Schizosaccharomyces pombe: one gene and its partner. The gene in region 2 interacts genetically with the main gene of each other region. Each region holds a gene or a part of one and is shown on either strand. Other genes may lie near its edges. The genes, in order: pus3 and ppk9.

Region 1 (10,907 bases), on a different chromosome or scaffold from region 2:
TTTAAGCACTATCCCAGAATCTATTCTTTTCCTGAATGAGTCGTCATTTGTTATTATGTCACGAAGAGGCATTGATGCCTTTAAATTGGTAAGAATTTATGCATTTTTCTATATGCAATTTTCCTCCTTCTTTTATAAATTACTAATACATTTTTAGGATCTCACTTCCCTTTTCAGCTTCTCTTCTAAATCTCAATTGAACGCTTTGTGTCTCTATCAATCCAAATTGATAGTTGGACGAGATAATGGAACAGTACTGGTTTTGGATACTTCTGATGGGAAGATTTTACATGAATTTACGGCGCATAAGAAACGGTAAGTGTCTTTTTATATTCTATACTCAACAAATTAAAAATTCAAAATTTTCTAATCAAGTTAGCGTCAAATCTGTCTACCCTGTTGATGATTATTTAATTACTGCAAGCTCGGATGGTTCAGTATGTATATGGGATAAAGATTGGAACTTAGTAATTGAGCATAACATTCCAGAAGGCAATCGAATTACCTGTATGGTAGCTATGTTGGCCGATAGCAATTCAGAACCCAAAAATGTCGAAGATGAAGCTGCGAAACGTCAAAGTTTGGATTCGGAAACTTCTGAAACTTCTTCAGAGTCAGAATCGGAGTCAGAATATTACAGCACTTCAAAACAGCCGCCTGTGAAAAGGACGAAGCATGCCTAAAGTTCCTCGCAATTTTAAAAAAAGTAAATCAATTTCAACTTAATAGGGAAAGGACGGGATTACTATTATACAGTTTTTGTTGGAAATATTTTATTCACCTAGACTATACTAATATTTATAAAAGGATTAAGTGTTTGCTTATCAATGTATCCTAAAAATTCTTGTATGTAAGCTTAAGTTGGGTGTTACAATAAAAATACATCTAACCAAGTTGTTACAGTACTTGTTTAGCAATTTAAGATGGGTTCATTTAGAAGCAAAAGTCGATATTATTATGTAAATTGATATGTGTAGCAGAAGTATATGGAAATGATGAGCAAATGATAAATCCTAATGACAACTAAACAATGCAAGTACCCATCTTATATAAGAGTGAAATAAAACAGATCGCATAAATCGACAAATTGTAATTAAGCTTAACAGATGGTTAAAGTTGCATGCAGTCAAAGTGGAATAGATCGCAACTTTTGATTAACAAAGAATCAATATGCAAAACTCAAAAAAAAAAAAAGAGAAACAATATGCTTAAAAAATTTGGACCTAAAGTCCTTGCAAGGTATTGATGAATAATGATAAAATGAAGACGAGAAAATGCTAGATGAGCTATTTGCCATACATTAGATTATTACCCCAACTGGGACTGGCGTGGACTTCGTTATGTCCACCAGTATGATTAAGCAAAGAGTCTGTATTGTAATTATTCATGGAACCAGAGTGAAGGTTACGAACGTTTCCATTATGGTTGTTATGCGATGAACTTGATGAGCGCACTCCCAATGGGTTCTTCGAAAAACTCAAACGAATACCACCTTTAATGCTACTGCTAAGACAAACACCTTGTAAATTCTTCAAGGCTTCCATGGCGTATGGAATGTTTTCAAATTCAACAAAACACATGGGGCCATTGCCTTTAGTGCGGAAACAAAGTCTTTTGTATCCAACTTGAGTGGAAAACAAAACTTTCAACTCTTCCTCGGAAGTAGAAGGAGGAAGATTTCCAACATAAATGGTGTTACAAGGAGGATTTTGATCAGCAGGGTTGGTATTCGTGGGGGTAGAAGCAGGGATGCGTTGATGAATTCCATGACTGGAGGAATAAGCCGAAAATGGTGTGGAAGGTGAAATGGTAGAAGCTGAAAATGGGTAGTCTCTTGATGTTGATGGTGTCAAGGGAGGAGGGCTTGTTGTACTGAATGCACTGTTTGCCGAAAAGACACGAGGATGGGGTGATTGAGCACTAGAATTTTGGGTATGAGCGCTATAACCCTTTTCAGATGAAAGGTAATTGCGCGCCACGTTGGTGTTAATAGATAATGAGTTAAATCGCAAAATCGGAGGAACACCGTCTTGACGCAAATTGGTACTACTTTTGGAAGGAGTGGGTGACCACGTAGGTGAACCAACTTCATCCTTGGCTAACACATTCGCGAGTGTTAAAGGATAAGAAACAGGGAAAGAAGACCACAACCTATCGGAATGCAAACTACCTCCATTGTTAGGAGCCTGAAAAGTGCTATCACCCAAAGGTGTTTTTGAATGACGATAAGCAGATTCCGAATGATTTGCAGTAGGCATACTGGCTGACACATGATTACTTGACCTGCGGAAAAGATCACGATTTCCTAACAGTGGACGAGTTGGAGAATGGTTTCGAGACAGTCTGTTAAATGAAACACTACTCTCAGAGCCCTCAGTTTCGTCGCTAAGATTTGTTTGACTTCCCTTTCGATAATTGTCTAAAATTATCATGCTGCACGCGGAATAAACATCGCTAGATAGCAAAGTGTCTCTAGCAGATGCAGCAGCATCTCGGGATGAAAACACCGCCAATCCATGAGCAACTTCATTATCCACGGATACAGGATTAAGCTCGACGGATACTACATTCGTAGCGAATAAAAAGGTACATAAAAACTCTCTGGGTGTTAAGTCCCTAGGTAAATCCTCAATCCGCAAAGCATAATATCTAGGAAAACCGAATCCAACCTTAGGAGGAGCAGAGGCTAATCCACCGTTGAGGTTAGAGAGGAGTCTACCAATCGGAGTTGTGGATTTTTCCACAGATGCATAAGTAGGTAAACCGTCAGATTCAGCTTTCCCAGCTTGGCTGTGAATAGCCTGAGGAGACATGTGAAGAGCATGACATTCATCATCTCCATTCAGAATACCGGTTGGAACCAACGATGAACCACGTAGCGCATCTTCAGTAAACTCGGTTTCGTCCCCGACTTTGGTCTTACTGGATAACGATAAAGGCTTTTCAATAGCGCTCGGTGATCCCACAAACATTTTGCAAATTATATATAATGGTAATTGAAAAGAAGAGAAAAAAGAATGACAAAGTGGTTGATAAAGTAACCAAAATAAGCAATAGATGCCTAAAAGTAAAACACAAATGAAATAGCAGTAGTTGTTAAATAAACCCCAAACGATAATAAATGAGGCTTCAAGCTTAATAACACGAAATAGTTAATAAGTGGAGTAAAAAGTTAGAAACCTAGTTGGTCGACTAAAAAGAAAGTGTGTAAGTAATAAAAATAAGCAAGGGCAATGAAGAAAAATAAAAAATTCAGTAAAAATTGTTAGCAAGTATTAGAAAAATCCAAATACTTGACGCGAAAGAATTAGAAGGGCAACAACCTAGAATACTGGACGAAGATAATAAAAGAAAGACTGTAACTTCAAGAAAACGAGAGCAAAGGGTAAACTGTTGACCACCACAAATAATTCTAGTTGCTAAAAGAGAGACAGATACAACTGTGAAGCAAAAAACACAAACTGAAAATGAAAAAAAGATGACTGAAATATGCAAAAATACCGAGCTAACAAAAAGTCTAGGGCAAGGCTTATGAGGAAGAAATCGTCAAAAGTATCGATAAAAAGACTTCGAAGGTATTCGAAATGCTTAAAAAAATCAGTTAGCGATTTTTTTTTTTTCAAAAAAAAAGAAATGGTTGCAGATGGAAAAATAAAATAAACAATCAACTTTTCAATCAGCAGAGTATAAACAAATATACAAACAAGTAAACAAAAGACACTTGTTTTTTTTTGGAGAGGTAAATCAAAGGAAAGCAATCGGGCAAAAAGTGAGAAGCAAATAAAATATACCGCTATCAACAAAGAGTAAATATCCAACAACAAGAACAATCAAGATAGAAGTAAAATTGCTGGGAAGATTGGCAAAACGTAAGCAAAAGAAGTATGAACACGGTTTATAAAGGAGCGAAGAATGAAAGGAAAAGCAAAATAAAAGAAGCTTTTCTAAGTAACGTTAAATAAGAGAGATCAAGTTAAAAGAAAAAAGGCAAAAAGATTCCAAGAAATTTCAAATAAAAAGAAAAAAACTAAGAAGTAAAGTGAATATGAAATCTTTGTGAAAAAATGATTGAAACTTGATCAAAATAATAATAAGGCATAAAATAGGGTCAGAAGAAAAAACAAAGAGGGAAGAAAGAGAAAAAAAAAAGAAAAAGAATAAAACAAAAAAGGTAACCCACACAAAAACGAAGAGACTAAATATTATATAAATGTCACAAAACTTTGTATGAACAAAAAGATGGGCAAAAAAAAAGACCAAACGTTTAATAAGCAAATACCCTTAAGTAATGAGTAAAAGGCGGAAGAAATGAATCAACGAAATCAAACGAGTGAATAAAATTTCGAAAAAAAAAAAAATAAGGAGCCGGGTATCTGAATGAAAACGAATCGTGACTATTTTATGGATTGAGAATAGGGAAATCCTAAAAACACAAAATTGTTTAGTGGGGATAGAAATGGATAGATATGAAAATGAAATGAATAATGAAAGGAGGTCGAATAAAAACCCAGTTGAAAAACTATTTATGGCCAAAATTCAACAAAGCAACAAATGGCTAAAGTTCAATGAAAGGGTACAGAAAAATAAAAAAGAAAAGTAAGACTTTCAACACACACGTTGTGCTTCCGAAACGGATATAATTTTCCTTGTCGTGCAGGCTGAGTCAACGAGCCCCTAAGATGAAAAAATGAGAATTTCCGTAAAAACAATGAAAAGAAAATATTTAATAGGGAGAAACCGAGGAACGCAATAAATAGCAAAACAACCAAGACTGAGAATGCAAAAAAGAAAAAAGAAAAACAAGCGTTATTAGATGAATGAAAGGACAATCGAAAACTAATCCAAATAATAATGGAGATGATAACAGTAAATATCAAATTTCTGCTATTCTGCTATGTTTCCGGCTTAAATCTTTTTTTTTGCACTACAAAAAGCGTTTTCTTGCCTACTGCGACTGTTTTCCTGGTGGTTGGGAGGTATAGGTGGTCGGTAAGTTCGGCGTGCAGTGTGGAAACGCTGTACGTTAGAGGAACACCAGCATCATCATGCATGACAAAATGTTGAACCGATGGGTTAGCGGTTAAGATGCAACATTCACTATATCTCAATCCCTTAACATTTGCCGGATAGAGCTGCATAGAAAAAAATTTGTCAAAACCCGGGTAGTAAGAAAAAGTATGGTTTAGAAGGTATTTTAAATAAATCAACGAAAATTTAGCAGAGAACAGTAAATAAAGAAGCAAAGATTGATAAGAAAGCGGTTGCTAACGAAAAGAATTAGTTTTGTAGGTTGACCTTTGAAACGACTGAAAAAAAATTAATTTTCGATAAAAGTTGAAAAAAAAGGACCTTCTAAAAACGGCAAATTTTCGGCTTCATTGTCCATTCAAAGGGGTAGAAAGGAGATACAAGGTATTTCTTTGTGGTATCTAGTATGTACAGCTTGGTTTAGTAAAAGAAAATAGATAAACAACAGGGTATTGTGGGTAAGACTATTCATGGAAGCTAGGGCTCTTTCCAAAAAATTATAGTAATATTCTATATTGTTCATGAAAAACAGTTGAAGTGCTTCTACCCTTAGTTTAATATTTTTTTAATATCCTAACTTTTGCTTGAGCACATGCCATCTGTAGTACCTTTCCTCTCTTTCATTAAAAACTTGCTTAGTTAATTTCATCTTTCAAACTATGCATAGTCTCTTAAGACCTTCAAGGTTCTCTGCCAACCAATCTGTGCTTTGCTTGCTCCAACGACATCGGGTTTTCTTTTCTTCGATTTCGGTGAAACCCCGGAAACGAATGGTCTACTGTGTTGTCAGCTATCGTGGTACTGGCTTTGCTGGTTTGCAGTACAATGCCAATGTCAAAACCATACAAGATACACTGTTCCAAGCATTCGCTCGAGTAGGCGCCGTTGTTCAGGTGAATGCTGACTCTCCCAAGAAGATCCGAATGTGTTCTGCTGCTAGAACAGACAAGGGTGTACATGCCATTGTTAATGTTCTTGGTTTGAAAGTGTTGGACAATCAACCTCTACCTCATGTGGTGAATTTGGTCAACGATATTTTACCACCTTGTATTCGTGTATGGAAAATGGCGAGGACGTTTAATTCGTTTTCTCCACACACTGTGTGCGACAGTCGCGTATATGAGTATTGGTTGCCTGTCTCCTCTCTACTTACTCCCCGTCCTTGCACTCTCGAGGCCTATGTAATTGCCAAGGCATCTGAAAAAGCATTCCCCATTAATGAAACACTTTCCCATTTAGCTAACTTAAGCAAACAAGACTGTGTTGCGAATTCCTTGTCCGAGCCCTTTCGTTTATCCAAACCTAAACTCGACTTTCTAAAGCATGCGTGTACGATGTTTCGGGGCACCCATCGATTTCACAGTTATACAACGGAGAAGGGTTTTTCGGACGCCAGTTCTCGAAGGTTTTTATTAGATGTGCGTGTGGATAACCTTCACATTGACAAGTTAAATCGCCAATGGGTTAAGCTAATCTTTCACGGCCAGTCGTTTATGAAGCATCAAATTCGCAAAATGGTTGGCATCCTTATTCATCTTACACGCACTGGATGGAATGCGCAAGTTTTGCTAAATACATTTAATAATTCGTATCGCATTCGAATACCTAGAGCGCCTGCTGAGTTTTTACTTCTCAATCAACCTATCTTTCAAGCTTTCAACAAAAAATGTTCCCGATTTGATCATGAACCGGTTGAATGGTCATGTGCGCAAAAAGGCATTGACCAATTTGCACATTCTTTTCTTCGAACTCCAATGTTTGATTGCTTCATTTCATCAGAATCGTAAGTTAAACCACACCTTTCATTTCTATCTCACATTTTATTAATGTCTCAGTTTTCAATCATTTTTCATCCTTCAAAAACAATTTCAATTATTTCAAGACTTAGCTTTGTTGACATCGTTTGACTTTTTAGAGCCCTCGTCTCGTCGTGATATTCTTGGCGAAAAATAGATATTGCCCAGCCTGCTTAAAACTCAATTTATCGATGTTTCTTTTCATACTTTCTCAATCTACACACAATCTTTCATACCTTACACATTTACACATACACACACGCAAACATATATATTTACATATACAACTACAAGAAATCTGCCATCTTAAAATTTTTTCATTTTTTAAACTCGTTTCCCTTTTCGTTTTTACCCTCTTTTTTTGTTCCTTGATTTTCCTTTTGACTTGTAATGATTTTTTCAACCTTGGTCACCTCATACTCAGGATTTTCGGAAAGCCAGCGTGCTTGAGGCTCTTCTATATTCATCACTAAATCTTTTAAATATTTCCATAGAGGAGAATCATCCTAAAATATAGTCAATATCATTCTACTTAGTCTAAAATTGACCAGTAACCTTACCTGTACGGCAATCGCACCCGCCCTGCTCAAACCCAATTTCTTGGCGATTAGCGCTTGTGCAGAAAATCCAAGTGGAACTAGTCGACATTTGGAGGAGCCATAAAAGTTAGCATTTGCAACAAGCTGGGGCATGTGTGTAACTAGCATGGAATCCTGGTCATGAAGGATGAATACGACCGCAGGTTGCGTAACGTCTTTCGCATTTTGGCAACATCTCTCTAGCAATTCATTGACAGAATTCAATCCAACGGTCAACTTCGAGTCTAATATGTCTTTATGAGAGGCAGGAAGCCATTGCACAAGTGTTTGAGCTAATTTCTCTTGTGTATTTGCATCAACGATAGGCCTAACGGTATGGTTAGTCAGTACGAAAATAGGTGTGAAAATACAAGCAATAGATTACATACCAAGAGATAGATAAAGGATTTCGAAGGACAAGCTTAACTGTTTGTTTTACTTTCGTTTGCTTTTTCTTCATAGCTCAAATATCTAGTCCTCCTTTCAGGACTTCTTTTAGGTAAAATAGTAAAACGCTATATTTCACTATTTGATTTATGAAATGCAAAGTTCATACAATTCTGTATGCAGTGATACGTTATTTTACACTATTATAGAGAAATAAAAATATCAGAAATTGAAAGATAATAACAAACGTAAAAAAGAGTTAAAGAAGCTGTCGTTTCAATTTCAATTAATTCTATCATGTTACATGCAAATATCAAGCGAGGATTTTCTCAATTTTCTAATGACTAGCATAAATTAACAGTTCTAAAATAGTAGAAGATGAAATTCATAAAAGTTTAGAACCTTCAAAAATGAAGTAAAAAAAGTTTTTGAAGTAGTAAAAATGAAGTTTAGGAGGGAAAGAACTCGAAAAAGTTAAACAAGGAAATACGTTAGAATCAATCAACTTCATCACAATCTTTTAACTTTCTAGATTAAATAGAAAATAGTAAAAATACATGGATATGATGCATGCCTTCTTATACTTACATCAGGAAATAGCAAGTAAAAATTGGTCAAGTAGAAATTTCCATCTTTGCGGAGAAAAGGCAGATTTTTTCGAATGCGAGATGTATTTTTTTAACCTAAAGAGTAAAAGAATAATGCCAAAGATTGCTCCTACAATTTTTATATTTTTGTCAATTAACTGTAAACGCGAGAGGAGTGGAGTTAAACCTTGGTTTATTAAACGAGAGACTTTTGAAAATTGCAATTTTAGGGTCAAGGCAAATTCTCCTTCATCTTCCGAGGGATCAGGAGTTTTTGAACGCTCAAGGTTCATTTTTAACTCTTCCTCTTGTGCTTGAATCCGAAGCAGTAATGACTAAACAGTTAGCGACAAGGATCAAACGTAAATGTTGTTACAAACATGCATACATTTTCAAGTTCCCCACGAGAATTAGCCAATATGGCTTTCAATGGCTCAGTAAGCTGCACGCTACAAGCACAATTGACAAGTTTGGGGAGAATTGAATCTTTCAATTCACTTTTCAAAATGGCGTCTTGGTAGCGATACAAAGAATTTATCATTTGCGCGTAGTTCTCTTTTGTAAATTCACTATTCTCTAAATAAGTAATTATCCTGGTCACGTTAAAACTTCTGATCAAAATTTAAAATACTACATACCAATTTACCACGATTGAATCCGGTATTTTCCCTTGATAGTTGTGTAACAATTTTTCCTCCATTTCTGTCCAAGAACGCCTTTGTTCACACATAATTGTCAGGCACAATATTAACGCTTGTTCGTAAGTGTTTTCACTACAATTAGCATTCTTTAAATAATTATCAAGTATATATAATGAATGTTCATCTTTTCCTTCCACGTATAGTTTATAAGCATATCCGAAAGGCGTCTTATAATCCATTGGGAGTGTAGCAGAAGCCATGGATGGTAATTGGGCTTTTATGAAAAAAATTGAGAGATATTAAAAAGGATAAATAATTTCATCAATTTCTTCTTCTCAGGATATTTAAATTGATCTAACTAGCATGAAGAGTAAGTCATTGAGTAAGATACTCTATTTAGTTTTGGTATGCAGTGGGATTCCAGTTACATTGCAAATGAATCGAAGCATGCTCATTGTCATGCAGTTTATACTTTCTCTTACAAACATAAAAATTGAAAATTGAATAGAATAGAATAGAATAGTATTAATCAGAGACTAAGAGCCTGGCAATTCGGTATATTAAGAATGAAAAAGATTCTTTCAATGCATGACCTCCGTTTATCTTTGCTATTGAGGAATGTATCGCTTCATTAAAGTGAATTACTCATCCAAGGCGTAAATTCAATGATTACTCATTATCTTGATCCAGAATGAACTTCTTTTCAATGCTCAAAAGTTATATGACTGACTTATCTGGCTAAGGTAATATTAAATAGAGCTATGACAAACAAAGGTGTATTGATAGTATAACCTCTAAAACCTTCGATTTAAATTGAACATATAGTTTTGAATCGAATGCCATATTTGTTTCAAAAAAAATTCCTTCAGTAGTCAACAGTACCTTAGCTATTTTTCTATTTATTTTTATTATTTTTGGCACATCAACAATTGATTGAAATTAACTTTCAAATTTAAAGGTTTTTAACTGTTTGACTTCTTTTTTACATTGACTAAAGTATCATTGCTTCGACCGGCAAACTATCCCAATAATAGATTCTTAAGCTTATTAAAAAAAAATATTTCTTTTATTTTGAAAGATTTAATTGTATTAACGAAGTTTAATAATAAACTCTGATAGCTATACAATTGTTATTTTAATACAACTCATTTTACAATACTAAATGTTCAAGATGAGATTTAACGTTACTTAAAATAATCCCTAATTTAAATTATTATCATTACTATTTTTTTTAAAAAAGAACACTTTTTTTCATAATTCAGGCCCCTACTGTGTAAACACATTTGGATTCCTATAAATTATCAAATATTCCTTTACTAGCTGATATATGGATTCGCTTTATAAAATACAGAAAGATAGAATTTAGTACGAAGTCGGTTCAAATAAATTTATTAAATGGGTTCCAAATGCTGAAGAATTCTACTCACCTCTATAGCGTAAAAAATGGGATGCTGCATTTTCACTTTGCCGGATATTAATTGTTTTATTGTAAATCAGTGCATGGGGTTGGTTAGAGAAAAAAAACGAAAAAAGACTTGTGTAGGTATAAAGAAAAATAAACAAATAAATAAATATAGCATAAAAAAATGACTACAACCATAAAACCTCAAATGAAATATGCAAAAGATAAATTTGTAATTACTTTTTCTAATAAAGTTAACATTCATGTAAAGTAGAAAATCTGTGAAAATTTTTAAAGTGAACAGAAATCTCGAAACATCAATCAGTTACTTTATCATTTTTCATCAAAGCTTTTTCAATCAATAGCAAAGCGAAATCAAATCATTTTGTTTTCAACCTAGGTAGTAAGCTGGCTCGTGTTCATGAATGGGCAAACACTTAAATACTAAGTTAAAATGTATTATAAACGGGTGAACGTCAGAAATAAGG
Region 2 (10,210 bases):
TTCGTTGGTCTCAATATTAACAACCGATTTTGCATAATGACCAGAAGCCAGCCACCAGTCACCCTTGACATTATTTTCACAATGTTTTTTCAATGCGTCGAACAACGCTCCAAATTTTACCTGTCGGTTACAAGATACATCTGGGTTGGGAGTTAATCCATTTTCATACAGATCTAGACTAGGCTCAAATACGAGATTCCAATACTCTTTTTCGAAATTAAACCGTCTACACGATATATTGAGCTTCTTACAAACCTTTTGGACTGTTGCCCAATCTCTTTCAGCAGGGCAACCAGAAGGCGCGGAGTCCTCATCTAACCAATTACGCATAAAAACACCTTCCACATTATATCCCTAAACCAAAGTTTAGTAATAAGTTTCAAAAATCTTTCACATCAAAGCATTTCTCTTTTAGAGTCAATTTAAAGAATTGCGAATTACCTGACTTTTTAGTAAATACGCCGAAAAACTAGAGTCCACGCCTCCCGACATAGCTACAAATACTTAAAAACATTATTAGACATTTTAGCTTAAAAAATAAACGAACCTTTATCCTGCGATTTGGGCCATTGTAAACGTGTAGAATGAGGTTGAAACGCCTTTGAGCATTCTATGATTTGCTTTTGTAGAAAAAGTGAAACCCTCATATATGATTTATCAGATTTTAACTACCCACATGTAACAATTTACCAAACCAAAAAAAACCTTTCTAGCGCAACATAGGGGGAAAAGTGTAGCTATGTTCGCTATGGGTGATGAATTTACGAGAACAGTCAGTATACTCCTAATAGTGCTACAACTCAAAATGCAAATTTCATGAATCCAGGATTATTCTTAAGTATCCGATAGATGTTTATAAATTTTTTAGAATCTTTGGCATTAATATACTATGAAATTAATGAGTTATAAAATCTTAACAACTACACGTTCACTTCTTAGTGACGTGACAACTTATAGACATTTATTTTCTATGAACCATAATATGTTCAATTTGAAAAAAATTTTAATAATCTGCCGCTCTTTTTCTACTAAGTAAAAAGTAATTTTAAGGATTTACAAAAACTATGCTCCAGCAGTGACTTGAACACTGGGCCTCTTGCTTACTAGGCAAGCGCTCTACCACTGAGCTACAAGAGCTTGTGGTTGTCCGTTTGTCTTTGTAATATATAACTGAACAATTGAGAATTTATTTTAAATTTATTAGTAAATGAATACGTATCAGTTAAAAGTTACTAAAGAAATTTGAAAGTTATATGATTAATTAACTCCGTTAGCTATTGAATTTAAAATTGATGGTTTTTCAAGATTTGGTTCAAGTTGATTATCCGCATTCAAAACATAATTTTTTGCATCACTTTAGTAAGTTTTTTTTCATTAAATAATCATTAGAAAATGAAAAAGCTAATTTTCTCATAATACTAGTATAGAAATTAACTAAATCCATTCTTTTATTCATTTTCTTGCTTTATAACCTATCACTTTTTGCTAGTGATATCGATGGCTATCTTATGTTTACATTGCTAAATGAAACCCTTCAACGCCCCTTACTCATTTTTTAAGGCTATAAGAGATCCGCAAAAAAAAATTGAGTTATTTCTTACACTAATAAAAGTTGATTCGTAAGGAAGTATCTCAGAATTCTTATTTTTGTATTTTTTGTTGCATTGTAGCTGTAAGGAAAGTTAATGAGACGCAGCGCACACTCCCCCTTGGCATTCGGTTTACCATCATTTAACTAGAACAGGCAAGATTTCTTTCTTTTGCCAACCTGTATACAGCAGTGGTGGTTATTACGTCGTTCATATCGTATCCCAAACATTTGGAGTTATTTCAAAATGATGGTTTCTTTGAAATCTTCGTTGTTCTTTATGCTAGCATTATTGACTGTTGTCCATGCTTTAAACTTTGATATTCCTGCCAAAACCAATCCAGAGCCTTTCTGTCTTCGTGAATACGTAGGAGAAAAGAACCTTGTAATTGTTAATCTGAAAACTACTGGTAATATGGGAGATGGACAAACCTTGAGTATGATGATAACTGATTCATCTGGCAACACTCATAGCAGTATTCAAAATGTCTTAGGCGAGAAGAGTGTTGCCTTTGACGTTGATGCTTCTGCTATGCTCGATATTTGCTTCCTAAATACTTTGACACCAGGTATGGTACTATATCTAAAAGTCGTATTTACTTCAACGGCTATTTTGATTTGTTTACGTTGTTTAGATCCCTTTCTTTCTTTGAAAAAGAAATCCTTTATGAGTTTAGCTTTCTGACTGACATTTAAATGTAGGTGCTATAGAGTCTGAACATAAAAAGCGATCCGTCAAACTTGAGTTTACTGTAGGCGCTGACGCCGATGATTATTCTTCATTGCAAAAAGCAAACAACTTGGAACCTGTAGAAGCTGATATCCGTCGTGCAAGAGACTTCATTGAAGAAATCAAAGGAAAAATTTACTATTTGCAAGCTCGCGAAGCTAGATTCAGAAACACTAATGAAAGTACTAATGAGCGTGTCAAGAATTTTGCATATCTTACTTTTATCTCATTATTTGTTCTTGTTATATGGCAAATCCTCTATTTACGTTCATTTTTCCAAAGGAAGCATCTTATCCCTTAAATTTCACATGAACAATAAATATACGTATACGGCATACTTGGCACTTCCACAATTTCCAAAAATTAATTGGTTGCTTTTATATTCCGTACTAGGAATTACTGTGAGTATGGACAAACATTCACATTTAATGCATATACACTACTTCACTCTTTAACTTCATGAATAAAAATAAAAGATTGTAGTAAATTACATTAGCATAATTCTGTTGTAATATTACAACTGTTTATCTTCATTGTTTGTGAAATAACTAACAAATTCAAAAAACAAAAGGGAAATGTAACAACTGTGAATTCTAATTGAAACTAAATGAGAAAGTCGTAACAAAAATATCAAAATTCAACTTAGTTTCACAATATTAGTAAATGCAAACAATATTGAAAACAAAAGCTTTACAACAAAAAAAATCGTAAAAGAAAAAAAAAGGATAAAAAAGGGAATTAGGTTGAGTTACGCGACTGACCTTATGCAATTTTAAGGATCAATTGTTTGACAACTTCTAAAAATGGCATTGGACTGTAAGATGAAGTGTACTTTATAGAATCATCACTACTAGAAAAGCGGATATCAATCACGCTAGCAGATGGTCCAATAGAGAATAATTCAATAACCAGATAAACAGGAGAATTATGACATGTAATGCATGAAAACACTTTATACTTATTTTCCTTTAGAAAAGATTCCTCATCACAGGGCCGAAACCGAGCTCCTAACTCAAGTAAAGCCTCACATAGCTTTCTCAATACTTCAATTGGATTTTTGGCAGTTTGAATCCCATAATGCCAGCGTAAAGAACGAAGTCGGTTGGGGGCGGGAGGTCGGGATAATGGATGGTTGTAGACCTTATTCATGAATGAAGCATGTCTCTGTGGAAGAGAAGAGCGTAAAGTTTCAACGTTAGAAGGAATTGGTGGAATATCAGTAGGATCTAAAAATCCGGATGATTCTGCCATGTCAGAATGCCACGAAGTAGCCGAATACAAGTCCTCATACGACGAATAACATAAAGATGCGGGATCTGGATTAGGAGATTCAGTACCTGAAATGGACATTGGTTTTGACGGGGATAGGGCTGAGTGATCTGTGGGCTGAGGAATTTGACCTACACTACTGGAAGGCGAAGTTATGGAAGGGTCGAAAAGAATAGCAAGATCTGGAGGAGAAAAGGTGACAGATCGATGCTTGGAAGAAAAGGATGAAGTACGGGAAGGTAAACGGGAATGCGTGGGAAGATCAGCGATAAACCAAGGATGTTGCATTATTTCTGCAACTTTGATTCGTGAAGTAGGAAGCACCATTAACATTTGACGAATGAGATCTGAGGCTGAAGAAGATACAAAACTAGGAATGGTGTAGATTCCTTTACAAACGCGACTTAATACATTGGAGATGGTTACATCCTCAAAGGGAAACTCGCCGACGAGCATCAAATACAATAAGATTCCGCAACCCCATACATCTACATCACAACCATCATAATAACGGCCTTGAATAACCTCAGGAGCAGCATAATGGGGAGTACCGCAAGAGGTACTCAGAAAGGAACCATCAAGCATAAAATTGGAAAGGCCAAAATCCGTGAGCTTGACAACCAGATCTTTATTAAGTAAAATGTTTTCCAACTTCAAATCTCGGTGAGCAACACGATGAAGATGACAATAATCGATGGCATGGACAATTTGTCGAAAAATCTTGCGAGTGGTACATTCATCCAGTCGATTATGCTTAACCACCATACTGTGCAAATCAGTATCCATATACTCTAGTGCGAGCACTGTGTACTTGGGAACCCGAAACACCTGGTATAGGGTGATAATGTTTGGATGGTGCAATTGCCTTAAGATTGTCACTTCTCTTTGTAAACGCTTCCACGTATCTTTATCTTCCAATTCATCATTGTAAACCATTTTCAATGCGACCTTTTCATTTGTTTGAAAATGCTTGCCCACTACACTGTTAGCCATCGTACAATTGCCAAAAACAAAATCAAAGACGATCGATGCGCAAGATAACCATGACACCTAAGTAGTCTATCTCTACTGTCTATAAGTAGTCTACTCTATCTTATTAACAAGCCCCTACAAGACAAAGTCAACTAAATTTCACCTCATGTACTTACATTTCACTTTGGCCAAGTTTCCTTGTCCCAAAGTCCTTCCCAAAAGCCAAGGCCCAACATAGGTGTTTCCTGAATCCTTTTCAGACTCTGCCGATGCAGAAGAAGGGGTTTGCATAGCAAGTCGAGCCAGCTGACTTTATAGGATGAAATTCGTTATTCGTGTATATAGGTGGTTAGCATGTGCATGTTGCTGCATACCGTCCGACTTAAACATGATCCGCGCATCTGATGCTAATTTGTTAGCGATAAAAAAGGTGCACGAGGCAAAGTAGTGTGATTCAAAGCAACCTTGTAATAAGATTATATGGCGTAACGTGCTATCTTTTGGTAAACATCTCCACGGCGACATTGCAGACAACGCTAGCGTTCGATACGAGCAACCAATCTGCACTTTATTTAATTAAGGTACGCGGTCTATGGGTTATCAGATGCATAGGTATGTAAATTTTGTGTTATGAAATGGAAAATCGAGCTGGTATTGTGTTATGGGAAATTATGCCAATTTTCAAAGTTTATGAGTACATGGGAACTCTCTATTTACCCTCTTCCATCATTAGATCCGTCCCAACTTCTAGCCAAAATTTTTTGCACAATAAGCTACAACAATACAGCCGTGATAATGATAAAATTAGTAAAAGCAGTAATAGAAATACTCAAAGACAATTAAATAAAAAATTACAACAGCTAGATTTTTTGACTACAGAAAACATTTGATTTTCGGTTTAATCCCAAAAACCCGCATTATTTCGCACGATGCCATCAATGCTAGTAGACAAACATAAAACCGCATATTACAGACCGTGCGAATGTTTTTGTATAGCTATTTTTTAATGTAAAGTATATTTTGCCATATCTGAAATAGCCCGATCGAGGCATCCCAAGTACACACTACGGAAAGTGATAAGTGCAAAATTTTCTTTGTATCCGTTTACATACTGGCATACCTATTGCCGCTACCAGCCCTTTGTTTACTACTTAAGTATACATTACATTAGGTGGCCGCCAAAAAACCGAACGTTCCGCATCGGTAAAATACCTTGGAGTCATTCGCCCGAAAATCCCGAAACCGAAAATCCATCTCTTACCACATACGTTTAGGCAATTATTTTATTCCTCTCCAGTCATCAATTGAAAAAAATAGGCTTTCTAAGTTTTGCAATTATCACAGTAGAAGTCCATGAGTCAACATGGAAACTGTGGAGATACGAAGTAAGAGTCTGTTGATACAATGGCTCACGGTGGAATCGAATTCCTTACTGAGTTGGCAACTGCATGTGAAACGGAAAAGCATAAAGTTTGATATATATCATAAAAAGAATGACACATCTAGCTTGCTAGATGGATCCAACAAAAACACCGATCGTTCCATCCTGCATACAAAGCGTCAACACACTCACGAAGCTGGTATCAAGAAGTTGAGTGCTGCTGGGTTAGAATTATTTTATCAAGGAGAGCGATGTATGTCGGAAAAGCCTAGTGAGGGCTCTGTCTACATTGAGAATGGAGGACTTTATGCCTTCGTGTTTGATAACACTTTTTCGAAAACAAAACCAAAAACTGTGACCTTCCTCTTGACCGCGCAACCATACAACGGTCCGAGAATACCAAATGCATCAGTCCATGGCTCTCCTAAACAAATTATTTCTGGAACCTTGCTTAAAAAGCGCCGAAAGAAGGGCCAAGGCTATGCTCGACGTTACTTCACTCTCAACATGGTGGAAGGCACGATCTCATACTATGCTAACGAAAATTCTTCGGTAATGCGCGGTAAAATTCCCTTGAGCATTGCTGTGATTAGCGTTGCTGCAGAGACGCATGAGATCAACGTTGATTCAGGCGTAGAACTGTGGAACCTACGAGCACATACTCACCAAGATTGGCTACGTTGGTGCAATGCTTTGGAAAAGGCGAAAAATAGTCAAACTTCTTCAAAGCTCGTAGTAGACGAAAGGACACAAGAATCGTCATCCAATCAGTTAGTCTCTATTTACTCAAGACTACGTGAATGCCTGGATATTGCTCAATTGTATCGCACCAGTCGTATCAAATCGGCTTCAAGTCATAATTTTTCTGTCCCTGAGATCCGTATACAACTTCCCGGTGATGCCAAAGAAAACAAGGAAACCCGTACTTCAGTGGAAATTACTGCTGCTGAAAACGCGCAAGCTGCGGTTACTTTACGCAAGGTTACTCGTCAACTCGGGTCTTTGTTGCATGAACTGGAATGCTTTATTCAACACCATGAATATACTAAAGAACGTACGGCGCAATCTTCTCCTTCGTCACGCATGTCTATGGATTCCAATTTTGAGCAACATTGGTACGACGCTGAAGATTATGAAAGCACAACTTCTCAATTGAATCACTATTCTGAGTCGGGTGCTCACGCAGCTGATGCTACTAAATCAAGTGTTGCTCATAATGAAAAGGTGGAGGACATCTCTGATTCCGATATTCCAATAATGAAAACTTCTTCTAATAGCACTTCCCTTGATGCAGATCGTGATTCTGACACTTCTTCTATTTCCGATACATCATCCAACTCTTCAGCTCCACATGAACAGTTGAATGCAACTTCTCTCGCCTCAACAGTAGATGAGTCTTCTCGGTCACCGCCTCTTCCCGAAGTTGAAAGCAATAAAGAAAACGATATCAAAAGAAAACAGCCATTCCATGATTTAATGGATTCTTCATCACCGGATGATTCCAGTTTTGCCAATGCTAAAAGCGATGAAGAGGTTCAAAAGCCTTCTGTTTCTAAAAACATCGCCGACGGGGCCGTTATTTCTATCCCTAAGCCTCTCACCCCTAAACCCTCCGATTCCAACTCTCTTTACCCTTTACCGCATTCCAAAGTTGGAAGAAGAAAGAATATACCAGCTATTACTGTTCCACCGCCAAGCATACTATCAATTTTACGAAAAAACATTGGAAAAGATATCAGTTCTATTCCTGCACCCGTTGTTTCTAATGAGCCTTGTAATTTACTGCAACGGTGTGCTGAAGATCTTGAATACTCTAACATGCTAGACAAAGCTAATGAATGCGATGATGATATAAAAATATTTTACGTTGCTGCTTTTGCCGTTTCAAATTTTTCCAATATGAGACATAAAGAAAGAAGTGTTCGAAAGGTTTTCAGTCCCTTGTTAGGTGAAACTTTTGAGTTGGTGCGGGAAGACAGAAATTATCGTTTTCTAGCTGAAAAAGTCTGTCATCGACCTTTAATTATTGCTTGTCATGCTGAAAGTCGAAATTGGATTTGGAACCACTCGCCTAAACCCATACAAAAATTTTGGGGAAAGTCTGTTGAATTAAATACTCTTGGTCCAGTCACCATTAAGCTTGCTTGTGGTACTGAATTCAGCTTTATGAAGCCAGCCTGTTTCCTCAAAAACGTTGCGATCGGTGAGAAATATGTGGAGCCTTACGATCATATGGAAATCGTTGATGAGACAACAGGCGATAAGGCAGTGATACGTTTCAAGAGTGGAGGTATGTTTTCTGGACGTTCAGAAGATGTTTTAGTAACAGTTATACGATCCAATGGTGAAGAAGATCCTAAATGCTTGCAAGGGAAATGGACCTCACATCTCGATTTTGTAAATACAGATGAAGGCAATGTAATCGAGCGTATCTGGGAAGTTGGTCCTTTGGTCGACAAGCCTGAAGATCATTGCGGAATGACTGTTTTTGCTGCTCAAATGAATGAGATTACAGATTTGGAAAAGGATAAATTGCCTCCAACCGATACCCGTTTGCGTCCTGATCAACGTTATAGAGAAAACAACGATCTCGATCACGCAGAACCTTTAAAATTGGAACTGGAGCAAAAACAACGCGAAAGAAGGAAAGAAATGGAGGAGAAAGATATAAAATGGGAACCTAGATGGTTTGTTCCATCTGTTGCTGGTGATGACGAAGATGAAGATGGGTCAGGTCCAATTTGGCAATTAAAAAAGGAAAATAATTATTGGGAATCTCGTGAAAACTCTACTTGGAGTTCATGTCCTAAATTATGGTGAAGTCTTATGTAACAAAAGAATTAAAAAAAAAGGAAGAGAAAGTCCCTTAAAAAAATACTCTTAAGTTTCTTAATGCTGCATAAATCGTTGGTTTTTCCTTCGTTTCATATATATTTTGTCTTTGTTTTAATAGTAAATATCTTTTAACGTTTCGTTTGTGTGTAATTAGATTCAATTGCTGTTAAGATCGTATTTTAATTCGTAGTTATGAACTAATTTAACAACAATATATTGTGTTCATTCAGCAGTGATACTAAGTGCATTTGTAAACAACAGTTTAAGGAGCATGGAATCTTTTACTACTACTACCATAAAAGACACTAATAAAATAAGTCGGTGGTGTCATTGTTTTTTGCAATTTGACATATAATGTTTATTATTATCCAAGATAGGTATCGCTGGTATACAAAAGTAACTAACACCGCTCATTATATTTTGCTCCAAAGATTTAGTGAGGCTAAACATTAGTGGTTTGACCCTTCCATGCTTTCTATGTTGACATAAACTACTAATATCGGAAATTATAGTATTAGTTAATTTGTTTGTATACGATTAAAAAAAAGTATGCGTATGCAATGGATTTGGAAAAGTAGACGCTCTTTGCAAAACGTCTTTATACGTCGCTCATCTCAATACCATAAGCCATTTTGGCGAAGACCATTGCCGGCAACCCTGCTGGGCTGCGCGGTTTTAGGAGTCGCTGCTGTTTATTTTGCCAAACCTTCTCCAATTGATGAAAATTATCCCAGGTCCGTGGCTAAGTATTTACATGAAGCATTATATCGACAGAAGGGAGAAAATAATCACGACTTTCAGGACGCCTGGAAGGCTTACCAGTCTGCCATTAAACAAGCCGAGAGTGAGAAAATGGATATGGAATCTCCTCCGGTTCAAGGAATCCGTTTGCAAATGGCGAATTTGTTAGCATCTGCAGGAGCGTTGCACAAAGCCTGGTCTATGTACTGGGATATTCTAGAAAGGACTTCAAAGCTTCCTGACTTTCTTGAGCAAAGAGTTTTGATTGCAAGCAAGCTAATCGAATTATCAGAACCGCTTGGCTTACAAAAGGATGCCACCAAAGCAGCAGACCTCATAGTAAAAGCATTGTTATCAAAACAATTTAATGGTGATGATGAGCAAAAGAGTAGGCTATTTGAACAATCGGCTACTCTGTATTTTCAAGCCGGAACTCCATCTTATGCAGTTCCGCTTTATCATGAAGCATTGAATCTTACTATGGCAAATCCTTCCTGCCACGGATTGATATTAATGAATAATTTGGCTACCAGTCTTTTAGCTCAGACTGAAACGGTCGACAAAAAACATCACGAAACGCTTATGAAGCAATCACAGTCCTGGTCTCAAAAGGCAGTTGACTCCTACTACTTCGCCTACCCTAAGGATCGTAATCAAGAGTGTCATGCTGGTTGTGCGGCTGCTTTCTACACTT

The links.
Region 1: mutations in ppk9 (region 2) and pus3 together harm fitness less than expected from each alone (positive genetic interaction), as found in Schizosaccharomyces pombe (one large-scale study listed by BioGRID).

What each region holds. Positions count from the first base shown.
Region 1 is NC_003421.2:665,541-676,447, reverse strand, and holds pus3 (tRNA pseudouridine synthase), read left to right. Parts: upstream 1-5,138; 5' UTR 5,139-5,175; intron 5,176-5,281; 5' UTR 5,282-5,687; coding exon 5,688-6,811; intron 6,812-6,863; coding exon 6,864-6,981; 3' UTR 6,982-7,141; coding exon of another isoform or gene 7,142-7,330; 3' UTR 7,331-7,384; coding exon of another isoform or gene 7,385-7,730; 3' UTR 7,731-7,791; coding exon of another isoform or gene 7,792-7,862; 3' UTR 7,863-8,036; downstream 8,037-10,907. Other genes in the region: p21-activated protein kinase inhibitor Skb15, read left to right, coding at 1-88, 158-315, 380-683; RNA-binding protein Scw1, read right to left, coding at 1,287-2,972; SPOM_SPCC16C4.21 (uncharacterized protein), read right to left, coding at 4,893-5,138; pop23 (Rnase P/MRP subunit), read right to left, coding at 7,142-7,330, 7,385-7,730, 7,792-7,862; SPOM_SPCC16C4.04 (uncharacterized protein), read right to left, coding at 8,379-8,711, 8,765-8,969, 9,015-9,277.
Region 2 is NC_003424.3:1,602,240-1,612,449, forward strand, and holds ppk9 (serine/threonine protein kinase Ppk9), read right to left. Parts: upstream 4,911-10,210; 5' UTR 4,851-4,910; coding exon 4,736-4,850; intron 4,565-4,735; coding exon 3,081-4,564; 3' UTR 2,834-3,080; downstream 1-2,833. Other genes in the region: slm3 (tRNA (5-methylaminomethyl-2-thiouridylate)-methyltransferase), read right to left, coding at 1-354, 442-503, 548-647; COPII-coated vesicle-associated protein Erv25, read left to right, coding at 1,836-2,157, 2,291-2,619; sterol transfer protein Osh3, read left to right, coding at 5,923-8,760; mgr3 (TPR repeat-containing protein), read left to right, coding at 9,325-10,210.